3 linked regions of the Neodiprion lecontei genome follow. The protein of the gene in region 2 binds, or shares a complex with, the protein of the main gene of each other region. Links are inferred from orthologs where the notes say so. Each region holds a gene or a part of one and is shown on either strand. Other genes may lie near its edges.

Region 1 (7,887 bases), on a different chromosome or scaffold from region 2:
AATGTGCGTAAAACAAGTCTTATTACGCACTTACATTACTCGCAAAACAAAACTCTTGACATGATAAGACTTTGTCTTCTAAGAAAATTAAGTGTACAAAAAGATACGAAAACAACTATTATTCACAGATTCCCTTATGACCCTCGGCATTCATGCGAGTTTGCTTCTCATTAAAAATACATTTGCCCAATTCGAATCGTAAATATGAAAGTATGGAATTTGTTTCTTCGTAAGTCCACTTTGATTATGTTTGGGATTTAATTACAGATTTTTCGACTAAAAAAATGACAAATAAATTAGTTTCGATTTTTTTTTTCTTCGAATATCACTAAGATTCATGATTTTACATATTTTTGACTTTTAGACAGGTACTCATACCGAGCACACGTTTGGTCCTTCCAATACTGTAATACCCCTTATTACATCCAATTTCTCGGGATAAAAATCCATGAAACAATATTTTCCAGTATACAATCGTTTCATCTGGATTTTATGCGACGAATGTAATACCAAAATACACTTAGATTTTTTTTTCATCAACTTTAATGCTTATGTCTCTTGTTACCAGTTGGTGGTTTTTGAAGTTGAAAACTGAAGTTGGAGTCTGTTGCTGATAGAGAAGTTGCCAAGTTTGACGGTGTGTTAAAACTCAAACCTGTTGCTGGTGGTTTGGCAGACGCACCAACTGAAATACTACTGGCTGTTTGTAATGACGTTGCATTACCCCAAGCTGAAACAATTTCATTATTACATCGCCTCTAGAAAGTATTACAAAATTAAATTTACACACACCTTGAGGGCAGTAAACTACCTTTTAAGCTCTCCGAAAATAAGAAAAAAAATGTCAGCGTATATATTAAAACCATTATTACATTTCTGTATTGATTTGTGTTCCATAAAAGAAAGGCAGCCTCCATAGGTATCCCATTACTCGATTTAAAATAAGTACAATCCCCCTTACTTAAAACGACTTAACATTACTTTTACGAAGCACATTGCATTATTATATTTCTGTATTGATTTGTGTTCCATAAAAGAAAAGCAGCCTAGATAAATATCCGGTTATATTGATTTAAAAAAAAATTACAGACCCCCTTAGTTGAAAAAACAAAACAAAAATTTTACAAAGCACAAAATCAAATGGGTAATATTTAAATATATCTAGGTGTGCTCGGGAGAATCCTAACAGTACATTGTTAGAATCATGCATTTTTCTTGTCCAAGCATAAGCCTGTTCACCTAAAGCCAAAGCAATTTCAGATGAATTTGACATAGGGAATTAATGAAATCTAATTTTTAATCACCATTGCAAAGACAAGAGTTATATAACTATGCATAAGAATGAGTGAATAAAAAATTAATACAACAATATGTTGTTCATGATAAGCATATTCTTTATAATGGATGCAAGAAGGTTTACTGTTCGAATTAAAACAAAAAGACTTTCCTAAAGCATTTCCGTCATAAAGTCATCCCATATTAAATGATGCAATCATTCCGCGTCTTTGTCTGTGAATCGGCTGTTTTTTTCCCCTTCACAACTCACGAGGGATCTACGGAATATTAGATTTTTCAAAAATCTATTGATCGACATATGAATTTTCGCAAGAATATTCGATTTTAGCAAGAATAACCACTAATGAACTGCAAGATAGTATGTTTGTGGTTCACTGGCGATTATCGTTAATAAAAAAGTGAAAAACTCGTGCATGTTTCAAAATTATTTTGAAAAATCTGACACATTTGGTAGTTTCATATGAAAGTATTCCACTGTCACTAGTCATATTCAAGGGAATTCGCAACTGTCAATAAGATTATAAGTGTCTCGTTACTTTTTAAATAACAGAGTCGAAAGCGAGTGTATATGTAATTTACATAAGCATTGAAACGAACTGAATAGAGGTCCTTTGCCAATTTATAATTTTGTTTCTTTACCAAATCTTGTCTGTAATTTGTCTTCAGTCATTATACAGTTTCAGATCAAATGTGATGTACAAATTACAAATAAGGTGACCAATTTTTATTCAATAATATCTGTAATAGTAGCATCTAAAGCATGAAGTAAAAGCATGTAGTTATTTTCCATGCAAGGTTTTTAGTAAGGTAAAAGCTATTCAAGCTGTACTGTCCCTTCAAATAGAAAAATTAATACCGTTACATTCAAGCTTTTGAAAAAATTTGATATTAGCAACATAAGTAATTAAAATGAAGAGTGATGATAATTTATGCTACTTGAAGAAAAATCCCTCTAGGTTCCCCGAACACAAAACACTATATAATAATGAAAATAAAAAACAAATGCTATACCTCAAATACTAATAAACAGCCACTACTTTTTTCCTGTAAAGGCAAAATAAATACAAATCAAACAGATAATAAATATATTTAGTGATAGCTACAGTGTAAAATTGTCAATCAACGATATCACACTTGAATGAATAACTGCTATGTAACGAAAACAAAGGAGTCAAATTAATGAAGCTATAGAGCAAACGGATGTAGCAGAGTTGTGTAGTTGCTCTGGTTTTGTTAAATCAGTATATAAACGCAACGTGCACAGTAATAACGTATATGAATTCATATTTTGGTAGCAAAGAATAATTGTACAAAGTCTTGGTGAATTTTATGACTATTTTTTTGTTTGATAATTGTTATTTGTGTCAAAGTTCAAAATCTGAGGAAAGCTTGCAGTGCAGAATGGCAAATGGTGCGTTGGAAAATTAATACTATACCTATGCTTTCAGAAAATTTGTGCGTCAATATTTCATAGCAATTTTAATTTATGCGCATTCAACGATATATATTTCGTTGTGCAATCATGGCACGAAATAGAAGACGAGCAGATTACATGTTTAATTTTTACAACAAAATTTAAAGTTTGCTATAGCGTCAATTTACTACATCCATCTATTCTCCGTCAACTTTTTGATATTGGTAATAATTTCTACCTCATACTAAATCCCTGCAAGACCTAAATATAGGATACGTTTATGGGGTATTTTATATACGTGACTAATCGAAAAATACGTGAGTAAAGTGAAGAAGAGGATATAAATTTATACAAATGTAAAATAGAAAAAAAAATCCAATAAATTACACAGTATTTCTAAAGGTTCATCTTACCACTATTTACCTAAAGGGTTCGCTGTTCCATAGTTTGGTGGTCTGCTGGTATTTAGGTTTGTTGAGGATAAAAAACTTTTGTTTCCTAGAATAAAAAATTTTACAATATCGCAAATTTATCATCATTCGAGGATAAGTGAGACGAATTCAACTCAATCAGATACGTCGATGTTTTCAAAAACGTATCGCTTATGAAGTTGAGACTCATGCATCTTCAAAAATCGCTCGAAAGTAATAATTTATTCACAACGTGGAAGAATTCTTGCAAATTAAGAGTTCCTGTTTATAACACCCACGATTGCCATTCCGAAAATTTCATCTTCACAGGTACAGAGTATACCAGAGTATTTGAATGGTTTAAAATGACATGTAAGTTAAAGGTGAACAGGAATCACTTTAGTAAGTATTGAAAATAAACAATTAAATATTATCATAATCCCTTCAGTTCTGTACCCGTTTAAAACAGCTATCTGACAAACAATAATTCAAAATGTTATGGAAGAAGATCAATGAGGTAAACTTCGAAGGCTGGTTCAACAAATGTATTTTATTATTAGTTACTATTATATATTTTATTGCCTGAAGACAAACTTCATTCGTACAAATTAGCCTATGGAATTGTCTAGCCTACCTGGACCAAATGGAGTAGGACCACTGTTGATTTTTCCAGAGCTGATCCTGCTCATTTTTTCGTTTAACTTGCTGTCTTCAAATACGTTAGAACTATCTTTTAAAACGTATTTCCTCAAATTGAGATATTGTTCTTTTTGATGTTGAACTTTAGCGTGTACACCTTGCAACTTTCCCGCGACTGCTATTAATGATTCGTGAAGCTTGCTCATCGCCATTGTTAGTTCTAGGATCAAAAAATGTGGTCAGTCTGATTGATGATGTGAAAACATGTATAAGAAATTGAGCTTTGTAAATATGATGTATGAAAGTGAGAATAAGAAAGGTAAACTCACCCTGTGGAGTTAACGTCTTTGGTGTCACCATGGTATGTATATGTTTTTCAGTGGATTCTATCTGAGATCTGAATAATAATAAATCCTGTTCAAAAGTATCGGCAAGTTCCATAAAGAACAGCAATGGCGCATTGTTCTCATATTGCAGTCCTGCTGGTGTATCGTGTGTTCGTTGTGCAATTTCTGCATTTTGTAAAGCTTTTGCTGTGTCCTGTTTCAATTTGTCTGCCAAGGAACGATCCCGCTGTACCGAACCAGCGAGAGTTGTTAGGAGTTCCATCAACGACGCTGTGTCTTCGGCGCAGCGATTTAAAGGTCTAACGGAACCCCGAGCTATGTCCGAAGTGAATGACTTCTGGGTCTTGATAAATATTCTGGTGAAAATTCAGGGTGATACGTTACAAAGATGATAAAAAAAAAGTCTTTATTACTCCAATTTGACAAAAAAGCTAATAAACGTCTTCCAAATTGAACTTCATTGTTATGCCATGATTACTTACTTGAAGTTTTCAATAGTCTGTGTAAGTTCATTGGGTATGAGGTTTTCCTTAGCTGCTGTTGGGCTACTACTTCCTTGAGTTAAACCTAGTTTGTTGGCAGAAACATCAACGCCACCAAGGCCCTGGATATTAGTAGTTGCCGTTAGGGCGGCTGAGTTCACAGGTTTGGCACCAAACAAACCCCCGACAGGTGCAGCACCAAAAAGAGATGCTGAAAGTAAAGAAATCGTTCGATAAAATATTAGGCAGGACTCATTACTGCAAAGCGTGGTTGAATTTTTCTAAAAAATTACACGTTTGGCAAAGCGAAACTTTGTAACGCAAGTAAGTTTATAGAAGAAAAATTGACTTGCCTGGTAGAGTTTCTACTTATGAGAACTACTACAAAGCTCAGTAAGGTAATAAGCCAGTTGGAGATAAATTTTGATCAGCAAGAAGCATTACAGTGAATCATTCCCTTATGTTATTCCTAACATTGCTATAATCTAAAAATACTCAAGAGAACAATACTAACAACCCGTGGTTGTAGTGGTACCAAAGTTTAAAGTGTTGGTAGGTTGAGTGCCAACACTAGTACCAAAATTCAGTCCTGTCGTAGCAGCGGGTGTACCAAAACTGAGACCGCCAGTCGGGGCTGCCGAGACAATCGGAGTTGAAAATAAACCTGAAGATACACTTGTTATGGCTGTTCCTCCAGAGCCGAAAGGCCTCGAGGCTTGCGAAGTGGTCGAAGTACCGGCTGTGCTACCGAATCCAAAGTTCGGAGTCGTTGATGTTCCAGATATGGCTGTACTAAAGGATAAGCCACCAGTTGCAGCTGACGTCGCTGCGAACGACGGTGTGACTGTTGAAAACGCTGGAGCTGGTCTGAAAATAGGATTGAGATACGTTAATCGTTTGTCTCAGAGGGTAATAGAATTGGGAATAGAATCGATAATTTGCGTTACAAGTATTGACTGCGAATATCAGTAATTGCTAGTCTTGAACTTGTTTTCGGAAAGCATTACTAGTAGCTAACGTATTCCTAATTGCATTCAAGTTATGACACACAATGAAGTATTGAAGAAAATTAAAGTAGATGATACAATGATAAGTTTTAATTGGATCACCGCAGTGATCCGCGAAAGTTATTCATCTTTCACGAGAATGAGAGTTTTGAGGTTAGGATGATTACCGCCAAGTTTGAGGGAGTGTTCGCTGTCAGATGACAAGACTTACTTTTGATTACCAAATCCAAAGGTTGTTGTCGTGGTTCCGGTAGCAGGAGTGCCAAACCCAAATTTCGACATGCTTCTTGCGAGTGTTTTCAATCTAATATTTAAAAATATCTATACTACGTCTCGGCAAAACATTACATTCAAGACATGGCTTGAAACTTCACTTCTCAAGGATTAAGGTCGCCCGCGTGTCGCACGATGTCGCTGTTCGTTGCCGCCAATTTGAACCATCGAGCTTATATGTACGCATGGAGATAGCATCCCAATGGTTGCACGTGTCACGGGGTCAAGGCAATACAAGTACATTCTGTCTCTGTCGCTCTGCGCTGCGATTGGCTGTGCGCCCTACTTCGGCCAATCAAAGCGCGGAGGGAGCGAGACAAAATGTATTGAGATTGCTGTTTCCCAGTCACGAATGCCAGTGCTGGTATGCTACCTCATGCATACAAACTTGATGATTCGACTTGTTGCTTCCAATTTCGTTATGTGTTGCTAACAAGCGGTAAATTTAAACACTTAACAACATTTTCGAATGAATCAGCCTGCCTCAGTTTAGATCGAAGGATAGATAAAAAGTTTTAATTGATCCTAGAGCCGTAGCTCCCTGAGGACCATCAAATACGAAGCTTACAAAAAAATTTCAATCTTATATTTATACACGAAGTGATTAAAATAAGCAACACGGAATTCGTTTAGTTTAGTATTCATTCGAAATAATCGTATCATTTCATTATATGGACATTTTCAAAATCCATTTATATTACTTGAATACCGCGTGCCGGGTTCTGGCAAACCGGCAGCTATTCAAGTAGCTGTTATTGCTTTACTACCTACTTTGAATAACATTTTAAAAAAATATGAAATATATGATTGATGATAACCAATTGAAATTTGTCACGTCACCCTTTTCCCACTATTATCATGTCACTAACAACCCCTTTTTATAGTTAGTGAGCAAATAATCGAACCCACCAATTTTCGGTTTGGTGAGAAAAAACTATGCTGTAACAAAAACAAAATTTAATTTCTAGGACAATTTTTAAAACTTGTTGCTTGCAATGGGATTAATTTTGTGGAAACTTAAAAAAATATTTATTGTAATACCTGAAGAAGTGACAAATATTCTCAAACTTGAACCGATCGAACATAGTAATTAGCAAATTATTAAATGAATAAAAGGTAATGTCCATATCTCGGGTTCTAATTAACTTATTGAAACTTTTTATTTCAATTACGCGTTTTGGAAAAAGTCACCGGAGTCTTGAAAAATATCTAGAGTAATTTGAAAATGAATGAAATTGCTCACACTTTTTTACGAGCTAGAATTTTAAATCTATAAAAAACTTTCTTTGTTGACAAAAATTACTTTTTCCCTGTTACACTTTGAAAGTAGGCATTGAAAATTATCCCGACTATTTTTTTCCACATGGTAGAAATAATCTGACAAAAGTTATCGAAGAAGTGCGGATTTACGTGGACCGTTTATTGTTGCTCAACTAGGCAGCGTAGCCGGGTAAACTTTGGATGAAAAATTCGAGAAAAGATTGTTCTACACGTCGGGTGAGTTTCGGGACATGGAATTGAAAATTCACCGAATTAATAGCAATAAACAAAACGGCCGATCCCAGTGCTTGTCAGGATTTTTCAAGTAAACTAACAATGATACATTATTTTTGTATAGGACTAATTTTATAAAAGGCAATACGATGGAAAACTTTTGTAGGAACCATTTTTCACTGAAACCAACAAAAACAAAAATAAATAACTAAATAAATAACTTCCGCAATTTACAGTTTGTTCAAATTTCAAAAAAATTTGCTGCTAAAATCCGGATCGAACTTTTTTGGCAAACTTCAGGATATGTTCCTGGGCATCTAACGAAATTGTAAAGAAATTGCCGGCTCTCTGTTCTTCGTCGAACGAAGTCGATTGAATTTCTATACATTCGGACCGGACTATGATTTTAATATTACGCAACTCTTTGCACATGGATATTTTTTACTTCGAAATATATTATACTTCCTCAAAGTTTATCGAACCGCAAATTTTCGCTTCGTTCTTAAACATTTCCCCCGGCATTTC
Region 2 (7,786 bases):
ATCATCATTGTTATCCTACAATGTTCCGAAAATATACTTACTGTTAAACAACTCGACTGTTTATTTTCATTTGTATCATATCTTCTGAAACTCTGATAACTGTTTCGATGTAGTAGTCTAAGGTTTCTTTCAATTCTTCGTAGCTCTGAAATGAAAAGTAAAAGCTTACTATCAATAACAATAGTATACTTCAGCTCTACCAACAGCTGTGATCAAGTAACTCTAAGATAATAGGAGAAGATCGGAAAACCGCTGAAGGTAGAAAAAACTATTTTTGTAAATATTTTCCAACAAAATTGGTTTCTACCTCTATATACATGGGATCTGTTTTGCTAGCATGTTCAAGTTCTAGTAGAAGCAATTCTAATGTGTTCAATGGAAGCCACACAGCAGGTGACGTAGCTACCAGTGGTGTTGTCAAACCAAAATACTCTTTCCCTCTACCCAACACAGCACCAATGTATTCAAGAGCTATTGCATTCGCTTCTAAAAGTCGACCGGAATTTAAAATAAGTCTCAGAATTTCTGCCGCATTGCGTTCCTGAAAATAAAAATATAGGATATGAACTTAATTCGCTATTAATATAGTTAGGTCCATTTTTTCTGCAGTTTATCACTGCGAAAAGAATAATAGTCAATGAGTAAAAACACTTCGGAAGAGAAATTACTTTGTAAGAAGACATTAGCCACTGTGGAAGAAAGGCACCGTGATGCAGTAGATTTTTCGTAACAGCTTTGTGCAATTCACTGCTATTATCCCGTTCGTGTTTCAATGTGAGATGCTCCAATAATCTCCAAGCAATATTTGTGACATTCGAATCTGATACGCCTTTATCTGTAAGAAATATATGCATTCCTTGAAATTTGTCGACCTTATACACTCAATGTATAATTCCATACACAAAAAGACATTGTGAAATTAGCAAACAAATAAATTTTAACTTACCAAAAATTTCGTTATGTATTAGCCAATCCCAAGCGTCAATGTCTTCTTGATAGCTCAGAGTTACGCATTGTGAGGCCAGATTTTCAAGTACAGAAGTTTTCGATAAACTAAATTGGTCACACAAGTGTAAAGCAGTCGTGTACAAACCAACATTGGATAAAATTGCGACAAGTTCGGACGGCCCTATGAAATTGTATAAGAACAATTAATCAAATATTCAACCGTGGACTATTCATTGAGTATATCCAAAGAAAGTCGATGTACATATTTTTAAGAAAACTCACCAGCACGTGCGATTGTTTGTAACTCCGGACTTAATTTGGCTAATTTTAATCTTGCTGTAACGATGTAATACTCATCTTTGATCTCTTTCAATTCTAACACTTCTACTTGTTTCTTCACTTTATAATGCAAAACTTCCCTGCCATCTATACTCCGTTTTTTTACGGGATCAGTTTCCCCCGATTGCCTTTGATCAGCCACAGGGCGCACAATCCATCTATATCTTTCCTTTACAAGATGCAGTGCATTGATACAAGCCAACAAACATCGAGACTGTTTTAGTATAATTGCAGGAGAATGGGATTCCTGTCCTAGTCGCATGCCTTGTTCGTACATCACTGAAGCAGCTGAAAAAATATGTATACATTACGAAATGAAATGATGCACAAATGGGAGCAAGAATGTATTTTCACTTGATACTAATGAATCGTACCTTTTCGCATGTTTCCCTTATTTATATGGAAGCTATAGAGAAAATTATAGTAATTATTTTCCATAAGATCCATACTCCGTGCCCTGCCTTCAATAATTCTTTCCAGATCTTCGTACATCTCGACATAAGGAAATGTAACTAATTCCAGTAATTTGTTCCTCTCAAATAATGTTGCTACTAGTTGCCTCAAGCAGTCAACTTTTCGGGAAGGATCTGGGTTAGAATTAAGCCAATGATATGCTTCTGTATGATGTTCGAGATTCAGATGTTGTCTAAATACGATTGAATGGAGCGTGGGCAAATTTGGGTTGTCATCTTCAGCTATTGTGATTGCAGTTTCTGCCAGCTCTATTATACAATCTGCGGCATTATGATGTTCAAACAGCTGGATCACCTTCAAGAAGTAATTAACTCGCATGCTACTTTCAGACACTATACAGGCATCTAGTAAGGTGCTGGCCAAAAATGTGTCTGTCAAAATTCCGTTGCACGCTCCAAGGAATTGATCACAGGCCTTGTGTGTTTCACCCATTTCAAGCAAAGACACTGCCATGATAAATTTGCGAGAGGCACTGTTCCATTCGCACCAAGTACTTAACATTCTAACGTACTCTTGAACAAGCAAATGCTGACAGCTTGATAAAAGCCATTCGGGAAAAATAAAATTTCCTGATATTGGCCAACTGTTTTGAAAAGTCAAGGAAAAAGAACTAACGTGATTCATTGGATTTCATTAATGTATCATATGTTTCATAGTGTGATTAGAAGTTATTTTCTCAGAAAACTCTTTGTTGAAAGGATACACGAACTGAGCCATCAGAGTAACATGTGTTAGCATACTTTCATGCCATGGTACAAGGCCACACGTATCAGTTATCGTATGAGCCATCAAAGTGTGGGCATGTTTTGCACCTCCGCTATGCATAAACAATTCTAAAAGAGACAATGATCTCTGTTGTCTCTGAACAATATTTACTCCGGAATCTGAAAGCTTTAAAAGGCTTAGATGCTGAATACTGGTGTCTCTGAAATTCAAATTGAAATATATTAATTTCACACATGGTTTCATAAATGCTAGGTACGAATGGATTGGATGATGTAGCATAGAAGAAATTGACTTTGAAGCAAACGAAAAGACTAGATTCTGCTAGAATCTCTAGTTACATAAAAATTTGCACTTACAGTAAAGTTTGAGTTGGTGACGAACTGGCGGTTGATTCACAAATCCACATAACTGCATAATACGCTTGTGTTAGAACAACCGTTCTAGGTGCCAGTGAAGAATTTATGGAGTGTAAGGACCTTGGATCAAATGCTTCAGGCCGCTTCAAAACTAATTGTTGTAGGATCAGCAGATTTCTACAGATTGAAAATCTGAGCTGAGTAATTTGCGATACGCTTTCAGTTATGGCTGACATTCCTAACTGGCTGCTGAACAAGTGACTGACATTCAGCAGGATTCGAGAGGCTTCCTGCACCTCATCGAGCTGCAATTTACTTGGTTGACCAAGATCATAAGTCAGTGCTTCTACCAGCATAGCCATCGCTTGTGAGATGTCATTGGTGTTCTCTATTTTACGATTTAATTCCGATTGAAAATCGTAATCGGATAACTGGAATTAAACAAATGGCTTAGGTGACGTTATACTTAAGAACTTCGCAGAGTAAGTCTCAATTCTCTTCACTTGGTAAAGATAATAAATAAAATGGGCTTTAGGTAGTGTTACAAAAGCTTAAATAGAACTACTCACAGGGTCTTCAGTCTCTAGTACTTGTTTGCATAACAAATCTTCAATAATAATGTCTGGACTGCGTAAATGATATAGTTCGCGTTCAATTCCACTTTTCAAATCCTCAGTCAATTGATTGTCGAGCAAAACTAATGCGGACATCAATGTGATTAAATTTTGACAAGTATCTTCATCTTGGGACAAGACTGGTGTAGTACTGAATCTTTGCACATATGATTTGTCATTGCATAACATTAAATGTTCAAGCGCCTCCATTGGCCGTAACAGGGAAAACGCTGACTTTTTCAGCAAAACTGCCCCATATACATTTGGTAATAACAACAACCCAACAGGTTTTGTACCATTGGCGTAGTATTGAATTACACAGGAATAGAATTTGGACCAGCAGCGATTGGCTATCTCTAAATAGTCATCATCTGAAAGCTCGTAATCCATTACTTCTGCTTGAATTTGAGCTTCTACTGCCATACACACACGTTCCTTCAGAACTGCAGGAGACAGCGACGTGTCTGTTATAATGTTAGAGCGTCGATAAATGCTCAAGGCACGAGTTATGTCCGCTAACGGAAATTGACCAGGATGAAAAATATAGCCAATGTATGCCTGCCTTGGATCTGTTCCAGGATCACTCACGATGTAATCTCTGTCTGGTGGTTGCACTAGCACTGCAGTTTCCCATTCAGAGTTTACTTGTGCACCATTCAATGGTAGCCTTGCATGTGTCACGGCTACTGTGTCCATGTCTGTCGTTCGCCACACTGCCCACAGTCGAGTTGGTGTGAAGGAAAAATCGACCAAATGTTGCTACACAATAACGATTAGGGTGTTATGTTTAAATGGCAATAATGAATTGGAAAAACTAACTAATTCACCAATAGATGTTCAAGTGGCGCGTGAAATTCTTCATCTTGAAAAAGTTTGAAATTTGCAACAACGATTGTATACTTACATCTGGCGCAAATAAAGTACAAATCCTGACAAATTTGAAGAGTCCAGCATCCTGCAGTGGTTTAAGGATGCTAAACTCGCATCCAGTTCCAAATTTTAAAAATGTTCCCAAATAAAGTTCGTTGTCATTGACTCCAACTGTTTTTTTCAAAATGTGTCCTTGCACTCCCTGCAAAGGAACTCTGCTGTCCATGGCAATATCTGCAACTGCCACACACTGGGCTTTACTGCAGGCCCACATCCTGACATTTCCTTCCCGACATAGAGCGAAAAGGTACATTTCGTGACCATACGAATGTAGGACAAGCGACATTGGGACGTGTCCTTCAGAATTACGGCCTCTAAAAGCAGTCGCGATGCCGGACAGAAATCGGGGAACAATTGAATCTTGTTTCAATTCAGTTGTATGAGTAAGCCCAGTCATTGTATCAAGACGGATTAATAAAATGTTTCCAGTGCTGTATGCGAGCGCAAACAATGCTTCTTCTTGAGGTAAAGTCAGCCATGAGGCTGCTGCATGTGGCACTGATGTGTCTAGAATAGAGAAACATTTCAAATGAATATTTTCAAACATTATAATATTGGTAAGTACAAATGTCAGCTTACTCGTTGTCCCTGTATTGGCATTAACAATATTTTTCGATGCATCGTTAAGGATTGATGGAACACTAAGGTCCGAGTGAGAGCCCAATACATGTTCCTGCAAAGGATATGAAAATGAAAAAAACTGAAGATTTTAAGGTATCAGAAAAAGAAGATTAAAATTAAGTGTGTGACAAAATATTGGTCCTACCTGTCGATGTATTTTATCTGGATGCGGAAAAGTGAGTTTGTGAACACTGGATACAGTGACCACTAATATCACAACAGAGTTAACTGTCTCATGTATAGAAATTCCATCCAAGAGTGGCCGGTCCGTAAATTTGTATCTTACTTTACAGTTGGCAAGATTCACATCTAGACTGTGCTCGACAAGTTCAAGAACGTCGTGGGATATGCGCCAGTAGATGAAACGATTTCTTGTAAAATGCTTAGTGCTGTCTTTGTAAGAGTATCCGCCCGCTCTCTCAGGGACTTTTATATCTTGTAAAGTACTTTGACTACCGCCTGTAATAAGCGAAGAGTTACTGAATAGTATTGAACCAGAAAAAAAAATTAAGGGTTGTGACAGTTATACTGTACGAATTTTTATTGAATGCAATAATGCTCATCATCAGAGTATCAACAATAGTAATGAGGTATAACATTTGTTGGGACGTAAAACATAAAAGGAAAAATACGTGTCCGTATAAATAGGAGATAAACGGAGTGTTTGAATGTCATACATGTCTTATCGAGCGTAATTATTAATCGGTTCATACAAGGAATGCGAAAAATAATTCTTCATCGGAAGTTTGTGTGATAGAGGTTAGGTTATCTCACCAGCATTTATCACGATTTCTTTCCACTTCTCCGGTAATGTTTGATCGGGTATAACTTCCCTGTAACCAAGAGGGAACTCCATGTTGTCGGTTGCTATAAGTTTCTTTCAGATATTAACCATATTAAGGAATAATATTTGAAAAACCTTTAGCCCAATCTTCATGCCCAAAAAAGACGCTTTTAGTTGCTAAAATTTCCGCGCGCGGGTTTTCAGATCAATTGGCGCGCAGCTCGAGGGGAGTTTCGTCGTCATGGAAACCCCGGTAGATGGCAGCAGTGTTCGACAAAACATATACAATTGAATACATAACCCTAACTTGGATGAAGTAAAGATGCTCAACCTAACCTGTAACCGGTGACGTAAATGTCAGAGAATATTTATCGCGCCATAAAGATCTCAATAATAGTCTGAGAAAATGAACAAAAGAGTATTAACATTTCTCTGCTTAGTACTAAATATATTTTTTTCAATACTTATTGTATTGTTAAATAAAATGGTGTACGTGAGGATTGGATTTCCAAATGTCACCCTGTCCATGATACACTTTGCAATAACATTTCTTGGGCTAATCATTTGTGAAAAATTGGATGTATTTTGTATAAAAGATGTTGCCATTAAAGAAATGGTACCTATCGCCCTAACTTTCTGTGGGTTTGTTGTCCTTACTAATCTGAGTCTGGAACACAACACGATCGGCACTTATCAAGTTACTAAAATGCTTACAACCCCCTGCGTCGTTGTTATGCAGGCAATATGTTATAAAAAGAAATTCGGTTTGCTTGTTAAACTAACATTAATACCCATCATAGCTGGAGTTGTCATCAACTTTTATTACGACATTAGGTTTAATATTCTTGGGACTATTTACGCTACTCTAGGTGTTATTGTTACATCTCTGTATCAAGTTGTAAGTAGGATAACTCTCACTGCTTTATGATGAATTCCGTAACCTGTTTCATACTTGAAGCTCATGGTTTTGCACATTTTTTCCAGTGGGTCAGCAGAAAGCAAAAGGAATTCCAAATGGATCCTATGCAGCTCCTTTATTATCAAGCACCGTTATCTGCAGCAATGCTGTTTGTGATCGTACCATTTCTGGAACCCATTGGTAACACCCTCCAGCATAGCTGGACATTTACAGATATTGTAAGTTGAAAGACACTTTGACTACTTTTCAATACTAAAGTTTAAACATTTGCTAACTAAAGGGATAATTTTTTTATTTCCACAGCTGATGGTGCTGCTATCGAGCGTCGTAGCATTTTTTGTGAACTTAACATCGTACTGGATAATAGGATACACATCACCATTAACGTATCCTTATTCAAACAAGGAATTGTTATTTTAAATGAAATTTTTTAATTCGATGAAAAATTATTATCTACCCAATTTATTTGCCATGCGCACAGCAATTCTCAATATGTTCTTACATAAAGTTTTCCAGTTATAATATGGTTGGACATTCAAAATTTTGCCTTCTTTTACTTGGTGGCGCTATTATATTCCACGAATCACTTGCACTGAATCAGGCTATCGGAATTACTCTGACGTTGATTGGAATTGTATTATATGCTCGAGTCAAGGCAAGTATGTGTTTTCACCGTGCTGGTAAATTTACGGTGTGAAATTTAATCAAATATGGTCTTTTTGTTTACAGATGAAAGACGGCATATCGAATATTTCACGTTTGACATTGGAAGAAGGCAAGCCACTTTATAAGACGTAGCACTTGAACAGAAAAATAATAAAAAGAAAATTGTGATACAATGTGCCGATTTTATTATTTATTTAATATTTCCCTTACTGAAACCTAAGAATATTGAACAAATAGATCTTTTATGATGATGATATAACAGAAGTTTCAAAATATGTCCAATCTGTTCTGAATTCTTTGAATACAATTTTCCCCACCTAGGACCAATCAAATTTTTTTTCCTTCACCCTATTTTCTCAAATATATTTAAACTGGGTGAAAAAAAGTGTGTTCTGTTCGCCAATAGCAT
Region 3 (7,694 bases), on a different chromosome or scaffold from region 2:
GTGGATGGAAGCTTGTAACGTGGAAGTTTCATTATCGCTTCTTGTTCCATCGTCACCTATTTGCACGCATCCTCCACTTGACGATCCATGTGTTATTGACTTGTGCAAGCCTGTCAAAGTTTCTGTTTCTCCCAAGCCAATCAAAAGAGGTATCTAAATGAATATGATATTTTGGACAATCAATAAACATATATGCTTTGCGCATAAAAGCATAATTATTATTTAAAGACCATAACAATAATTTCATAACATCTGACACTAAAATTAATACAAAATCTTATATCTATAGTGATTAAAAATATAGTCTTAACTTTCAACAATGTCGTACAAATATTTTACTACAAGACTTTCATACATGTTATAAAAAGAGACTTATCGGATCGACTTGTATATTGGGATAATCTTGATGAATCTTGATGTGGTCACAGTCGATTTCATTATCTCCAACTCTGGAACGAGCTTCCTCTGGAAAAGTAACCAATTGATTTCAAAACAAGTGAATTTATCAAATCATGTAACGATATTCAGATCATAGTATTCTGGGATTATTGTTTAATTTTGATCCAAGCTAACTATATTCTAAGGTATTTACCCTCAATTATGCCTCAATGCTATCAAATAAGTTTTAAGATATCAGCATTTTACATATTCGAAGTTGAATTGAGCGCGATATTCTTCTTGATACAAATCAGCACACTTGAGTGAATAAAATATGTTAATTTTTCGTATTGATATCTTTCTCAGAAACGCATAAAACATTTTAAGGATAATTTGCTTACCCTGAAAAGGGTGGTGGGGCTGCTGGTTCTTGTTGCTTCTGAGCTAAATTGCCAAAAGTTAATCCTCCTTCCTGAGTGGCAAGATTTTCAAAGGTACTACTTCCACTGCTTTCACCAAATACTTTCTGCATTGAACTGCTGCCGATACTACCGGAGTTAGCTCCTAATGGCGATGGCGTGCCAAACCCACCGAAAGCAGCTGAAACTCAGATATTTTTACTTGAATGGAATTGTTCACTGACAAAATATTTTTGACAAATATTCATCAACTAATTAGCAAATGCTTACTTGTAGGTTGTGTAGCACCTGAAAATGCAGTATTTGCAAATCCGCCGCCAAATATAGGTTTTGATGCTCCAAAAGTGGATCCAAATGCTGGCTTGGCACCAAAAGTTGCTGTTTGGCTAAATGCTGGTGCAGTAGCCGTCAGTGTTGGTGAAGTTGAGCCGATGTTAGTAGTAGGAGTAGGAATTACAGGTGCCCCTCCGAATATTGATTGATTTGACGGTGTAACAGTACCAAAGACTGATGAGGTAGAAGGAGTTGGAGCTGTACCACCAAAAATTGATGCAGTTTGGGGATTAGAAATAGCTCCACCAAACATTGATGGGCTCGTGGAAATTGTGGGACCACTTCCGAAAGCTGGTAGTGGTGTAGAATTAGCTGGAATACCACCAAACGTAAATGATTCAGCATCGGGAGGTCTGCCGAAAACGGAGGGTGTCGAAGAATTAACAGAGTCACCAGCAAATATTGGTGGTTTAATGGGACTGTTATTAGCTTTGCCAAAAATTGATGCCGGTGGACTGGTAGTTCCTCCCAAAGTAGGTGCACTTGAAAATTCAGTAGAATTACCTCCAAATATTGATGGAGTGTCGGAGGTGGTAGAAACATTACCAAAAACTGAAGCTGATGGTAAATTAGCGGAATTTTCAAATCCTGATGTAGCTGTGGATACAGCTGGTGTTTCACCAGAAACAGACTTCAGCGGGTTTGCAGCAGATCCACCAAAAATAGGTGCAGTTAGGCCAGTGGGGCTATTACCAAAAACTGGTAGCTTTAGCGCACCAGGTGTTGCACTTTCGCTGAACGAAGATATTATGTTACTACCCGCTGAGACCCCGCCAAACAGCGAAGACCCAGGAGGATTCCCAAAAATTGGATTTGCTGGCTTATCCTTCAAGATAGTTGAAGTTCCACCAAATATTGATCCAGGTGATGACGTCCCAACAGATCCAAAAAAGCCACCAGCCGCCACTGTTGTTGTTGATGTTACGTTTTTAATCGAAGTATTAGAAGTCTGTAAGTCCAACCCCATGACTGATAGATCCAACGACTGAGCTGTGCTTGATGTTGGGCTGGCTACTGATTTTGAGGCGAATGAAAAAGGCGTATTACTTGCAGGTTTAGTTGCAAATGAAAAACTCGCGATTTGTGACGTTGTTACGTTTACCGAAGTTGTAGTCGTTAATGCTCTTTGTGTGGTGACTGAACTATTTGATGTTTTCAGTGTAATGGGATAAGTCGACGCTTGGCTCGCTGGTGTTTGAACTGTTGACATAAAACTAACACTGGATTGTGGGATGGTTTGTATAGAAGTGGAAACTACTATTGGTGTAGTTGTTGAGGTAGATATTGTTGTAGATGTTGGCTGTGCCTCAGTTTTAGCAATAACAGAATTAAATGGAAGAGTGTCAATTTTTGAAAAAGGTTTATTAATAGCTGTGATTGTAGTTGGCATCAGTGCAGGAGGCAACAATGGCAATACCGATGATCTAGAAGCAGAAGATGTGAATGGAGATACTTCTGATATTGTCACAGATTTCATTCCACTGGGGATGCCAGTTATGGGTTTTTGAGGTGTATGAGGTGTAGGAGGTGTGCCAAATAGTGCAGCAGAAGTTGGCTTGCTTTGTACAGACTGTGCTGTTGATGGGGTTTGCGATGCTACTAATGTAGCAGCTATTCGTGCTTTGCCATCCACTTGTGGTACTTTGATCGACGGAAGAGAAATGGATGCTGTGGACTTATTCTGTGTGCTACTAGGTTTGACTCCAACTTGAGATGTTTTGATTGGTAGAGTGGAAGCAGGTGTTCCGATCAAGGCTGGTGCTTTATTCTGCAAATTAAGGTTTGGCTGAATGCCAACAGATCCAATGTTGGCGACAATTTGATCCAAAGATGCTAAGGGACTTTTTGCAGCTGGGATAGGTGGAGGTGCAGGTAGTGCATCTTCCCGCATCAGTTTTTCTATTAAGACATTCTTACGTCTCTGTACTTCTTTGGGTGGACTTTGCATTGCCAGAGAAGATATTGTTGCCTCCAAGCGATCCTGAATTTCTGAAGGGGTTGCTGCTTTAATTATCTTTATCGTGGTTTGGTTCAACAAATTCCTCAAAGTGCGTTGTTTCTCACAGGTAAAGCTGCAATTTCTCTGTGCAATTGCTTTACATTTGTACTCTATAGCACCACTAGGAGCTTTGTTATTGACGGATGAAGATAGAGACATATCGGCCAAGGATTTATTTAATGAAGAAGTAATATCTCTACGTGTAAGAGTTTTCCACTTCTTAACCTGAGCTTGAATCAAATTTTCCACTTTGGCAATAGATTGTGAATGCTGAAGCATGATTTGATGAACGAAATCAAGCCTCGGTACTTTCATTTTATTTTTTTCTTTATTTACATGCTCGAACCATTCGTAATCTAGGGCTCTTGCAGCTTGCTCCAATTGAGACTGAATATAATAGACAAGATTTTGCAATTCTTTCAGCTTATTATTATTTCCTCGATTTTGGGGATTACTTGAAGCTTTAGAAGAGCATTTAGATTTCGTTTCTTCCAGCCAGGCAAAAGTCTGCAATAACAAAGCTTTTAAGTAATTGATGTCACTTGTCAAACTAGTAGTTGTTTCCTGTAAATCTGTTAGGAAGCGTTGCATATTTTCAGATTTTTCAATAAGTTGCGTACGTTCGCCTGGCGAGCCGATATCTACGGACTGTGTTTCCCTACGACTACTCAGTTCTTTTTCAAAATCATTGCATACCTCCTCGTATGTCAAAACACATACGTTACTGTCTATGCTGACTTTTTCCGTCTCTTTTAGTTCCTTTCTGGGTACTAGTGATGTGTCTACTTTCGATGATACTTCAATTTTCTCAATAGGGGGTTTTGTTACAAACAATTCAGTTTGCGGTTGTGGAATAGAAACTTCTGAGGTCTTCGGAGATACGTTTGTGGTTACAGCTGATGTTGGTCGATCCATGATCGGCTCAATTTGTTTAGGTCGTGGAGTGCTGGTGACTCTGCCATCCAAATTAAATGATATTTCTGTAGGAGCAAGACTTGGGTGTGGTTCACTATACAATGGAAGAGTTTCAGTCGGAGGAGAGCAGACTGGTGGAATTCCTGGCATTAAATTTACCATATGAAAACTGCAGAGTTGCCCGGAAGTTCCAAATATATGAAGTATAGGTACAGGGTGGGGAAGCGTTGAGCCCTCTCCACCCCACGGTAGCTTGTTTACAGATGTTCTATCTACTGCTAGGCCAACAGGAAAGGTTTCATTAGTTCGCACAAGAGGTAGCTGAGCTCTTCCACTGTCAACTAACTGCCATTGCTGCCATGTTGTTCCATTATCTAGTGAGCCAAGAACAGCAATTTCACTACTGGTACTACTAGCAGCAATAATTAATCCCCATTCAGCAATATGTTCAAAATAGTATCGGGGCGGACTGCCCTCTTTTCCTTCAACATCGGGCACGCTATAAGTTATATCTTCATAACAAGTAAAGATGCCCTGAGATTCACCTTTGGGGGCATCTATAATGAGGACATTAATTCGTGAGTCTTGTGGGTCTAAATAGGCAGCGCAAAATTGGTAACTGCTGATCCATAAAAGAGCAATGACACTGCCGATGCTCGGATCAGGACCTGCAATGATTCTGGCTGCCTTTAAATCTGGTTTCAACTGTAGCAAACTTCCATTCTTGCTTCCGACTACTAATTGTTTTCCCTTGGGACTCCAAGCCACACAGAGCACATCTAACTTTTCTAGTTTTTCCAATATTGTCAGAACTGATGAATTTTTGTCAGATGATATATTAAAACTGCCTATAGAGTGATCACTTGTTACTGTACATAACATTCCAGAGATGCAAGGATTCCAACGAAGATCCAAAATATGGACATTATATGAGGACGATAATTTGATCTCTCGTAGGAGCTCCAATTGCTGTAAATATTCACATAGTTGTGAAATAGATAGATTGTTATTACAAGTTCGGACACAACAGTATCCTCAGTTCATATTTTGATTTTGTGGAGTAAATGAAATTATTTCTAGATTTTAAATCTACCTGTTGTACAACTGAAGCAGCATTGTAAATGTAAGCTGTGGGAGAATCAAAAACAACAGCTAAGTACGAGCAATTGCAATTAAATGCAAGGCAAGTAACTTTTGCTGGCATAACAAATTCCTTTCTCCATTCCTTGTCCAGACTGTGGCCACTTTTCAGGACTATGATTTTGTGGTCGCAAGCTGTGTAAATCAATCCACGTTTCCCATCTACTGCAATCAGGCTACAAGCTACAGGGATTGAGCTGAATCCATCTGATATTTTCCAATGTGTGGATTGTTTAAATTGAAATTCCTGCAAAAATGCATCATAACAGTTGTATACGCTACAGTAATAAATGTTAATTACTACACATGTACAATTAAAGTTGATAACTCTGAATTGCCATAATTTCAATGAATAGTTTATAGTGTAGCGTTACAATTAGAGTACACAATGATGGCAACTAATATTACATTTATGTTATCAATTGAAACTTTTGTTTATATTCATTTTATCAATCTAAGTTGAACTGGGAATTAAAAAACCTTGAGGTTATGATTGACGATTGAATTGTAGATTGTTAAATGGATATTTGAAAGACATGTATAGTAGAAAAAGCGTACCAGTACATCCTTAGGCTCCGGTGCCGCCTTCATTTTTTATATTATCATTAAATAAAGTTTTTGATTGTAACGTTATAGCGCCTTTGAGTAAAAATTGGACTAACCATTAACCAATCAATGAGGATGAAAACATCGAAAGTGGGATAGGAAGGGCAGGAGCTAGGTTGGCTGTGGAGCACGGTCTTATAGCGTTTTCCACTGGTTGCACTTGAGTGCGCACTGGCTCGAACAGGGGGCAGTCGTTCCGTGCATACGTCGCCCGGCATCGGGGCAAACCTTCTGAGTGGAACACGCCGTAAAACGTATAAAGGCAGACTGGATCATAATTTCTCCTAAATCAGAAATAATGTGACGTTACTTGACCGACTGCGCGACTGGCAGTTTTTCAAGTAAGTGATAATGAAGCCAATTGAACAAACGCAACGGTAATTTTTTGTTTGTAAATAAATGTCACAAATGTTAAACACGAGCATACAAGGGCAAAAAATATTGACAATTCCGCTGAAAAGATAAAAATTAATAAGCAGCAAGTCAAGTTGTCCCAATCTCCTGAAATATACCTAGCAGTTAACCTCTAGAAGCTGAAAAAATGTGTATCCATACTTCGATATCGGACATGCTGTGGATTACTCCTATGAAATTTAAAATTTTGGGAATCTCTCTATCTTTCGGCTCGAGCAAGCATCATCACTGCTAGACGAAGATGAAATTAGATCTAATAAAAGGGTTGCTGTCACAGCATCTACTTCGACTCTTTCACGATCTGCAGCCATAATTGCACTACTTTGACACAGACTCCCGATTTCAGTGCAATATTTTACGCGCTCAATGCTAAATTCACGCACCCGAGCTGTCAGTGGAACACGCTGGAAATACGAGTCTACCGCTAGCGCGCTCTCAGTTCACACTCAGTGCAACCAGTGGAAAACGCTATTACATACAGGTCTTGCAACGAACGTGGTGGGGGATGATCAGTTCAGGTCCGAAACAAAAGTACAACTTATGGCCACCAAGAGCGGCGCTACGAGTTATTCATAAGCTTATTATTATTATTTGACGGAACCCTAACCTATCTTTTTGATACTCATACACAAATAACCTTACGTTGTTATGTTATGAATAACTGACAGCGCTGCGTAGTGGCCAGTAGTGGCAAAAAAATTTGGACAATAACGCGGCTACCCCCACTACTCAAATTTCAGTTCGTTGCAAAAATCTGTATGTAAGACCGTGCTCTGCAGTCGCTGCAAGCAACGGACGGACCAGAAGCGTTGACTGAAGAATATAAAGACGGATACCCTTGGGTAACTTTTTGTAACCACTTTACGGCGGGCAAGTGGGCCCAGAGTGCGCCCTGAAAGCTTGAGATTGGCGTCCACTGCCAACCGCCTCCAATGACCATCACGACTACTGCCAACCACCCCCAATTACCACCGAGCACGTCCAAGCACCGTCAACCACCTTCGACCACCTGAGACCACCTTCGTCCTCCTCGACCACCTTGTCCCCCGACCACTGCCGCCCCCGCCTCGGCATCCTCATCGTCCACGACCTCTTCGACCACCGTCAATCACCACCAACCACCTCCAAACACCTCCTACCACCTCTACCCACCTCCTACCATCTCCGTTCACCGCCAACCACCACCTAACACCTCCTACCACCTCCTGTCACCTCGTACCGCCCCCTGCCTCCGTCGACCATCTCCGACCACGTTCTACCACCCCCTACCACCCCCTGCCAACGCCTAGCAACTCCTACCAGTTCCAAACACCTCCAACCACGACCGACCACTTCCGACCACCTTCGTCCTCCTCGACCACTTGCTCATACATATATTCCATGGCATTGATATTCATAATTATTCTAAGAACTATTTAGCTGTTTTAGCTAGTCGCAAGTAAAGTATCTACGTTGGGTAGAGAAGCAGAATTGTTTTTCGGAAAGTGTTT

What was found.
Region 1: nuclear pore complex protein Nup160 homolog (region 2) and nuclear pore complex protein Nup58 share a complex: the UniProt entries of both Drosophila melanogaster proteins name them as parts of the nuclear pore complex. The link is inferred for Neodiprion lecontei from reciprocal best matches to the Drosophila melanogaster genes Nup160 and Nup58.
Region 3: nuclear pore complex protein Nup160 homolog (region 2) and nuclear pore complex protein Nup214 share a complex: the UniProt entries of both Drosophila melanogaster proteins name them as parts of the nuclear pore complex. The link is inferred for Neodiprion lecontei from reciprocal best matches to the Drosophila melanogaster genes Nup160 and Nup214.

The regions. Positions count from the first base shown.
Region 1 is NC_060265.1:8,735,747-8,743,633, reverse strand, and holds the start of nuclear pore complex protein Nup58, read right to left. Parts: upstream 6,009-7,887; 5' UTR 5,878-6,008; coding exon 5,807-5,877; intron 5,456-5,806; coding exon 5,103-5,455; intron 4,800-5,102; coding exon 4,589-4,799; intron 4,463-4,588; coding exon 4,089-4,462; intron 3,980-4,088; coding exon 3,755-3,979; intron 3,209-3,754; coding exon 3,134-3,208; coding exon of another isoform or gene 3,126-3,133; exon of another isoform or gene 3,124-3,125; intron 2,972-3,123; coding exon of another isoform or gene 2,955-2,971; exon of another isoform or gene 2,822-2,954; intron 2,341-2,821; coding exon of another isoform or gene 2,330-2,340; exon of another isoform or gene 2,308-2,329; intron 2,165-2,307; exon of another isoform or gene 731-2,164; coding exon 543-730; 3' UTR 1-542. UniProt on the Drosophila melanogaster protein: Component of the nuclear pore complex, a complex required for the trafficking across the nuclear membrane. Together with Nup54, required for transposable element silencing regulation in ovarian follicle cells.
Region 2 is NC_060263.1:38,145,892-38,153,677, reverse strand, and holds the start of nuclear pore complex protein Nup160 homolog, read right to left. Parts: upstream 6,003-7,786; 5' UTR 5,865-6,002; coding exon 5,783-5,864; intron 5,468-5,782; coding exon 5,154-5,467; intron 5,061-5,153; coding exon 4,967-5,060; intron 4,895-4,966; coding exon 4,362-4,894; intron 4,217-4,361; coding exon 3,413-4,216; intron 3,275-3,412; coding exon 2,844-3,274; intron 2,687-2,843; coding exon 2,465-2,686; intron 2,345-2,464; coding exon 1,662-2,344; intron 1,576-1,661; coding exon 1,231-1,575; intron 1,130-1,230; coding exon 947-1,129; intron 836-946; coding exon 669-835; intron 542-668; coding exon 308-541; intron 146-307; coding exon 44-145; 3' UTR 42-43; exon of another isoform or gene 1-41. Other genes in the region: solute carrier family 35 member E3, read left to right, coding at 6,199-6,690, 6,777-6,929, 7,015-7,097, 7,228-7,366, 7,441-7,509. UniProt on the Drosophila melanogaster protein: Functions as a component of the nuclear pore complex (NPC). Involved in poly(A)+ RNA transport. Required for nuclear import of Mad. May play a role in double strand break DNA repair. Essential for nephrocyte development.
Region 3 is NC_060262.1:33,074,773-33,082,466, forward strand, and holds nuclear pore complex protein Nup214, read right to left. Parts: upstream 6,009-7,694; coding exon 5,847-6,008; exon of another isoform or gene 5,776-5,846; coding exon of another isoform or gene 5,743-5,775; intron 5,432-5,742; coding exon 5,138-5,431; intron 5,014-5,137; coding exon 1,068-5,013; intron 979-1,067; coding exon 780-978; intron 725-779; exon of another isoform or gene 466-724; coding exon 438-465; 3' UTR 329-437; downstream 1-328. Other genes in the region: integrator complex subunit 4, read left to right, coding at 1-157. UniProt on the Drosophila melanogaster protein: Part of the nuclear pore complex. Serves as a docking site in the receptor-mediated import of substrates across the nuclear pore complex including emb, RanGAP and phosphorylated Mad. Protects mbo/Nup88 from proteasomal degradation at the nuclear pore.